Linked DNA regions of Cricetulus griseus. The protein of the gene in region 1 purifies or fractionates together with the protein of each later gene. This does not show direct contact. Links are inferred from orthologs where the notes say so. Each region holds a gene or a part of one and is shown in the gene's direction. Other genes may lie near its edges.

What was found.
Region 2: the proteins of Adar (region 1) and Dhx9 purify together in Homo sapiens (affinity purification with western blotting; 3 studies listed by BioGRID and IntAct, with this or other methods). This does not show direct contact. The link is inferred for Cricetulus griseus from reciprocal best matches to the Homo sapiens genes ADAR and DHX9.

Annotation. Positions count from the first base shown.
Region 1 is NW_023276806.1:64,812,356-64,816,174, reverse strand, and holds part of Adar (double-stranded RNA-specific adenosine deaminase), read left to right. Parts: intron 1-3,486; coding exon 3,487-3,712; intron 3,713-3,819. UniProt on the Homo sapiens protein: Catalyzes the hydrolytic deamination of adenosine to inosine in double-stranded RNA (dsRNA) referred to as A-to-I RNA editing.
Region 2 is NC_048598.1:38,197,762-38,201,580, forward strand, and holds part of Dhx9 (ATP-dependent RNA helicase A), read left to right. Parts: intron 1-576; coding exon 577-713; intron 714-1,056; coding exon 1,057-1,146; intron 1,147-1,242; coding exon 1,243-1,404; intron 1,405-1,500; coding exon 1,501-1,578; intron 1,579-1,963; coding exon 1,964-2,155; intron 2,156-2,637; coding exon 2,638-2,779; intron 2,780-3,210; coding exon 3,211-3,293; intron 3,294-3,819. UniProt on the Homo sapiens protein: Multifunctional ATP-dependent nucleic acid helicase that unwinds DNA and RNA in a 3' to 5' direction and that plays important roles in many processes, such as DNA replication, transcriptional activation, post-transcriptional RNA regulation, mRNA translation and RNA-mediated gene silencing.

The DNA of each region.
Region 1 (3,819 bases):
GTATTTGCATTTCCTCATGAACTACTTCATTTGACATAACCCATTTTCTTTTAGAGTGTTACTCTTTAGTCTTTTAGAGCTTTTAAAACAATAAAAACATTAGTCCTGTGATGATTATGCCCCAATCTAACGGGGCCCAGAAGAGCTCCTGACTACCCCCACTTCAGGGTGCCTTTGTCCAGTGTGGAAGCTGCTGGGAAAGAGGGGGAAAGAGGACATGGGCTCCTGCCCCTCCCTCTGGCGAGCCTCCTTCTCTTTAAGCTAGGTCACATGATAGTGGGAGCTTTTAGTGACACCTTCTGTAATATTCTGGGAATTCAGTAATTCACTTGGAACATAAGAACCTTGGAACTGGAATTAAAGACATGAGATGCAGCAGACTTAGGACTGTAACAGTGTTGGACTTGCCGTGTGGCTTGTCCTGGGAGGCAGATGCCAATTTAGTAGCTATTTTATTTCCATCTCATGTGGTCCTTCCTTTGTGTGTATTATGCTGCATCCACTTTTCCCTCTCTTTCTTGGTGACCTTAACTCACTTGTTGGTTTTAATGTCTAAATGCTGGAAAGTGCTGAACATGTCTCTGTAACCCAGACCTCTCAAAGCTCCACATTCCTGTATCCAGTTACGTACTTTAACTTCTAATCAGACATATCCTAAGCGGAGCTCTGAGACAAGACTTTCCTGTCGTAGTAAACACCACCACTGCTTACCCATCCTCAAGCCACTAGGATTTCTAGTACTGGCCTCGAAATCACAGAGTTCTGGGATTACAGGCCTGTGCCACCACCGCCCGGCTAACAACTTCTGATATAGTGCTTTCGCCGTTGTGTGCTAGACATGATGTAGGCACACAGCAGAATGTGCATGGCTTATTTGCAAATACCATGCCATTTTACATCAAGAACTTAAGTGTTCTGCAATTCCAGTGTCCTTGGGGAATCCTAGAAGCACCTCCCATGAACACCAAGGGACACAACTGTACATCTCTGTTCCTGTGGTGGGAGGACAGACCTAGTCAAGGGACCGAGAGATGTGATGGATGAGCAGGGAGTGAGGGTAAGGCCAGCCTCTACCAGCTGTTTGCTGAAGGGCACATGGCCTGCCCACAGGGCCTGCCTTGTAGGTTGTCACTTTACCATAAAAACAGTAGGAAGTCATTGAAGGTTTGAGTAGAGCATCCGTGGTCTCTTGTCCCTTTATTAGCACTTTTCTGCTAATTTTTGTTTTCTCCTTTGAGAGTACCCCTCCAGGTCTTTGCCTCAGATTCCCACCTAAATCACTGTTGGCAGTCTAAACTGATAGCTTATTTCCCAAACCAGGCCACCTGCCTACCTTGCCCCTGTCAGGAAGTTTGAAGGAAGCATCCTTCCTTCTACATCAAGTCTAGGTCCCCTCCCCTTCTGTGCATAAGGACTGATTGTTTCCTGATCTCCCTTCTTCTCCTGGCCTATTGACCTCAGCTGTATGTATGCAAACTCTTAGCCGTTTTTGAGAGACCATGTCTTGACCTGCTTCTCTCCAGGCTCTACCCCATTTCTGTGCTACTCTAGATACCAGACGCCTCAAAAGGAATGTTTATAGTCACTGTGTACTTTCTTCACTCCCTCTGAGGGCTGGAGAGATAGCTCAGCAGTTAAGAGTGCAGTCTGATCCTGCAGAGAACCCTAGTTCCCAGCTCAGTTCCCAGCACCCACACATGGCAGCTCAAAACCACCTGACTCCAGCTCCCAGGGCATCCAGCACCCTCTTCTGGCCTTCACAGGCACTGCACAGATAGCTGCACCTACACAATTGAAAATAAAAGTAAAATCTCAACTTACTAGGCTAAAAAGCCCAACCACTGTCTGAATGCAGTTACTAAGCAGTTGTGATGTGGCCAGCATGACTGAGGGGCTGAATTAATCATTCACCTAATCCTTTAGTTCACTTAAATTTGGTAGCTTCCATATTAGAAAGCATGGCTCTAAAGGATTCTGATTTCATAATTAATAAGCTTAATCACATTCTGTCATGCATACACAAAAGTATGTATACAGGGCTTATCCTTTCCAAAGACAATGGCCACAAGCTCCTCCTGGTCTCCAGAGGCAGAGGCCCTGGCGTTTTCTCTGCTCACCCAGACCTTTTCTCGCTGCCCTCACTTCATTCTGAATTTTGCCCACTGGCTGGCAGAGACCTGTCAGCACAAGCAAAGAAAGGAACAGAGGCGTTCAGCTGCTTCATATCTGAAGGACAGTGGGAAGCTCAGTATGGATGGCGAAGACTGGGCTGTGCCTCTCTCTTGTGCACCATTGGCTTGTCCAGAGCTACGTTTGCATTAGGATCTGACTGAAAGCTAGGATTCCAGAAGGCTGGTAGATTTCCAAACTGCTGTGCTCTGGCTTCCTTCTGAGTTTGTGGGAGCCTGCCCCAGTTACAGTAGGGACTCCTCCCTACTTCAGAGCCCATGGTCCTTTTTTTCCCTTCCTCCCCCCACTCCACCATAGTTACAAGCTTGCAGGAAATGGACAAATAATTCCTTGTGAAAGTTTGGCTCCTTGGCCTAAGGCAGACCTTGTTGCAGTCACCTTTCTGGGGTTGTCAGGAGGTATACAAGGAAACAAAATTGGATACTTTAGAACTCAGTATTGGGAACACAGCTCAGTGGTAGAGCCCTTGGTTGGCCTCTTAGAGTGGGGGAGTCAGACAGTGCTAAATACCTGAGTATGTGGAGAGACAGATATCCTTCATTTCTACTTGAAAAGAAACCTGTTTTGTGTGTGCGTACATGATTGTGGGGTGGGGTGTAATGTCATTCCTCAGTCACCAACTATTTTTCTACTTTTGTTTCTTTGTTTTTAAATATGGAGACAGGGCCCCTCACTTGGCTTGGAGCTTGCAGACCAGGTTAGGCCAGCTAGTCAGCAAGCCCAAAGGATCCACCTGTCTTTTTGCCTATGTTGCTGGAGTTACAAGCATGCTGCACCACCATGCCAAGCATTTTTTCTGGTGGGGGGGGAGAACTTGGGTTCTTGTGTTTGCAAGGCAAGTACTTTACCAACTGAGCCATCTTCCCAGCTCGTAAAGAAACCCTTTCCAGTACTCTCTCATCTTCCCTTTTAACAAGGAGCAGCTCGGAGCCTTTGCAGGTAACGCTACAGCGTCTAGACAGAATTTAAAAGATGATATGAATTTTATAGTCACTTCCAGTTTATGTGAAGTAGTACTGTTCCCATTTATATAATGAGATAAAATTTACCTTTAAAATATGTTTATAGTTCTGATAGGTCTGGTTAAAGGAAAATACTAAGAAATAGAGCAACTGACATCTGGATAGCAAACAAACAAACAAAAACCGTATAATTCATGAATAACCAAAATCCGAGGAGTGCCTCCAAATGAGACAAGCAGTCCTCTGGTTTGCAATAGTGGCCTTGTTCTAAGCAAAGGCAGCTAGCCACCAGGGGCTGCCACTGCTTGGCTTCATTCTCATTCTCTTCCCAAAGGTTTGTTTACCAAGCAAAAGTTGGGGGCCGCTGGTTTCCAGCCGTCTGTGCACACAGCAAGAAACAAGGCAAGCAAGATGCAGCCGATGCAGCCCTCCGTGTCTTGATCGGGGAGAGCGAGAAGGCAGAGCAGTTGGGTTTCGCAGAGGTAACCCCAGTGACAGGGGCCAGTCTCAGAAGAACTATGCTCCTCCTTTCCAGGTCCCCAGATGCACATCCAAAGACAGTTAAGACATCTGCTTTTGGTGCTCTCTTTTTGGGGGGATGAGGGTGGGGTTCTGCTTGCTCCTCCCAGAAGACGTTGGCTCTTCACTTTGCCTTATTTATCTCTAG
Region 2 (3,819 bases), on another chromosome or scaffold:
AAGATTAATGTTCTGAAATTCTCTCTCTGTAACAAATTCTGAATTCTGCAACTTAATACATTGTTAAATTTAACATATGGAAATTTTTCATGGACAGTAGTGGTTCCTCTGCTTTTTGGGGGGTCAAGTTCTTGAGGTAGCTCTGGCTTTCATAGAACTATGAATTCAAGCTCACTCTGCATCTACTTTTGTATCAAAGAAGAGTGAACAGTTGTGATAGCCTATGTGACTTAGAAGACCTATATTTTTTAACATGATCTAGCTCTAAAGTTTTGTAATCCTGAGATGTGATCATAGGTACTCTACTATGCCCATGGAGTTTTAATTCATTAAGTGGAAATCTCTTCATGGATATTATACTTAAGGCTTTTAGTTTGTCTATATAGTTTTTTTTTATCTGGTTTCATGATGTGGTAATAAAAGATGAGTGGGTTGTAGGAATTGTATTTGGATAGCGAATGGAATGAAAAGAACTGTGATGTACTTTATATGGGTGTTTGTTTGGTACATAAAATGCCTACTTGTTTCTGATGGTTTTTTTATGTAGCTGATTTCTGTCTGTGGTAATTCTTATAGGGATTTTTGCACGTGAACATGGATCAAACAAGAAATTAGCAGCACAGTCATGTGCCCTCTCACTTGTCCGACAACTCTATCATCTTGGAGTGATTGAGGCTTACTCTGGGCTTACAAAGAAGAAAGAAGGCGAGAGAGTATGTATTTAGGCATAACTACCCTGAGTAACTTAATATTTGGCTACAGAAGTTGAATGAGTTGGGGACAAGGGCATTATAATGGAAATTAGGGGTCTTAAATGCCAAATACTATTTCTGAGCTAAAAGCTTAGTAAATCAGGAAATTAAAATGCTGCATTGATTTAATTAGCACTTTGATAAGGATCCAGTCAGTGAGTGAGTCATTAAAGAAATTCTCACTAAAAGGAATTGTTGATTGTGTCTATAATAACCCCGGTCTCAACTCTATATTATTTTCGTGAAATTAATTTTGAATTTTATTCATGGTTGTATTAATGATTTTCATTACTCCTTTTTGTAGGTGGAGCCGTACAAAGTTTTCCTGTCTCCAGATTTGGAGCATCAGCTGCAAAATGTGGTTCAAGAGCTAGATCTTGAAATTGTGCCCCCAGTAAGCATATATATAGCCTTTTGTAGTTAACCTTATTTTAAAATCTTCACTTAGACAAGTGTTTCCTTTTATTTACTTGTTTTGCTTTTTTATCAGCCTGTTGATCCTTCCATGCCAGTTATACTCAACATTGGGAAATTGGCTCATTTTGAACCATCTCAGAGGCAAAACGCAGTGGGAGTGGTACCTTGGTCACCTCCACAGTCCAACTGGAATCCTTGGACTAGTAGCAACATTGATGAGGGGCCCCTGGCTTATGTGAGTACCACGAGGTTTCTAAGATCAGTTTTTGGGATTTCCTCCTTCCTTGGGTCAGGATAAAAGAGATTTTGTTTGAATGTGTTCTTTTTGTAGGCTTCTACAGAACAAATCAGCATGGACCTAAAGAATGAATTAACATACCAGCTGGAACAGGATCATAATTTACAAAGTGTAAGTGGTGAAGATTTTCACATTCATTGTCTAGTGTTTCAGAACAGTGTAGTTAGGTTGAATGACAAATCTGAAATAATTAGTAATCATGTATCATAGTTAAAATCTGATAGTAGTGGCTGTTAATTCAGGACCTAAAAATGAGTTGTGCTACTATTTGAACGCACTGCAGCAAATTGAAAAATTATTAACATTTTGTGGCAAGTAATTACATTTAGAATGTTTATGGAGACCTAAGAATGAAATAGAATGAGGACCACAAGACAGATTCTCTAGAAATTTAGTTGAGAATCAATTCTATTAGAAATACAAATATTGGTAGTAAGCCAATTAGAAAGGAAAATTATTCAAAGGAAGTTTTACTAAGTTTTAACTGTGTTAACAGGTGTTACAAGAGAGAGAGATGCTTCCTGTGAAGAAATTTGAACCTGAAATCCTGGAAGCCATTAGCCAAAATTCGGTTGTGATAATCCGTGGGGCTACTGGATGTGGTAAAACCACCCAGGTTCCACAGTACATTTTGGATGACTTTATCCAGAATGGCCGAGCAGCAGAGTGTAATATTGTTGTGACTCAGGTAAATACCAAGCCAGTGTATGAGTTCTATTAATAGTTTGGGAGTTTTTGGGGGTTTGTTGTGGTGGTGGTCAAACAAGGTTTCAAGAATGTTAAGTTTCTAGCCCCACTGCCATCTTCCTTTGTACTGGGGATTTGATATTGAACCTTGGCATGGTAGGTACTTGTGTTAACTATCATGTTTCTGTTAGTAAGCTGTCAAAGAGAGCCATTGCAGTAATTTGAAATTTGAGCTGGGTGTGGTGTTAACAGTTTGAGGTGGGACTTGAATATGTAGTCAGAACATTAAAAAGGCTTGAGTATTTGGTGGTAGAGCACTTGCCTAACATGTAACTTAGGGTGGTTTTTGGTTTTTTTTTTTTTTTTTAACACATGGTTTCTCTTTGTAGTAACCTAGCTTTTATCATGCATATAACACATAGACACTTTTCAGTATAACTAATTCTGAAGTTTCATATTTTGTGTTTTGTTTTGTTTTTTCAGCCGAGAAGGATCAGTGCAGTTGCAGTGGCTGAGCGAGTTGCTTATGAGAGAGGTGAAGAGCCTGGAAAAAGCTGTGGTTACAGTGTCCGCTTTGAGTCTATACTTCCACGCCCCCATGCCAGTATAATGTTTTGTACTGTAGGTCAGTAATGCATTTTGATACCTCATTTGCAATTGTCACATTTTTATACTAAGACTATAAAAAGGTTACAGTATTGCACACTTTAATCCTAGTGCTATAGAGGCAGAAGGTGGCAAATATCTCTTTTTAAGGCTAACCATAGAATGAGTTCATGAAAGTCAGGACAATACAGAAAAAAGTCTCAAAATAGAATATGATTCAGGATATTTCAGACCTCTTCTACAATGATAGAATTGTGTTGCAGCAGGGTTGATTGCCTCCTTGTTAAAAGGTTTCTCTATGTGACTGTATGATCACCATGCTCTAAATAATTGATCTTAGAGGTATGTGCTGCCAGCCAACCCCAGCCAAAATTTGTTGTTTGTTGCTTCTTTGACTACCTAACAAAGAAACCTAACCTGTCTCATAATTGTTCTGACTTTCTTTTCAAGGTGTGCTCCTAAGAAAATTAGAAGCGGGGATTCGAGGGATCAGTCATGTAATTGTAGATGAAATTCATGAAAGAGATATTAATGTAAGTTACTTATGAATTAAGAGGATGATTTGTCTATGTCTAATTGAATAAATTGCTTTTCCTTGCTCTTTTCCTTTCATCTACTTCTGAATATTGTTAAGAGAACCTGTGAACCATCAGGTAATACTTTGTTTATGATGATCAGTAAGAATTTATGCAACTTAGTTTAGAGCTTAGTAGTGATTTATGACTTGAGTAGCTGGCTGGATATTAGGATTAGTTTTCCTTTGTATGTGATACTGTGCTTTTGGCAAAATGTTGGTGGGTATTGGTAGGTTATTTCAGATGCTAAAAATCATCATGGGAAACAGGAAAATGAAAATTTTATTTCTCACCTTTGCCTTGGGTGCTTGGCAAGTCAGTATAGTTTTATTATACAATTGTAGGAATTGAAGTTTGATATTGAAATACACAATTTTTAAAGATCCTATTGATACAAGAAAAAGTGTGTCCACATAGTTTGGTCATTCAAACTATCCCAAGTTGCTATTGGAATCTAGGAGTTACTCTTGGTTTTCTTTTTAAA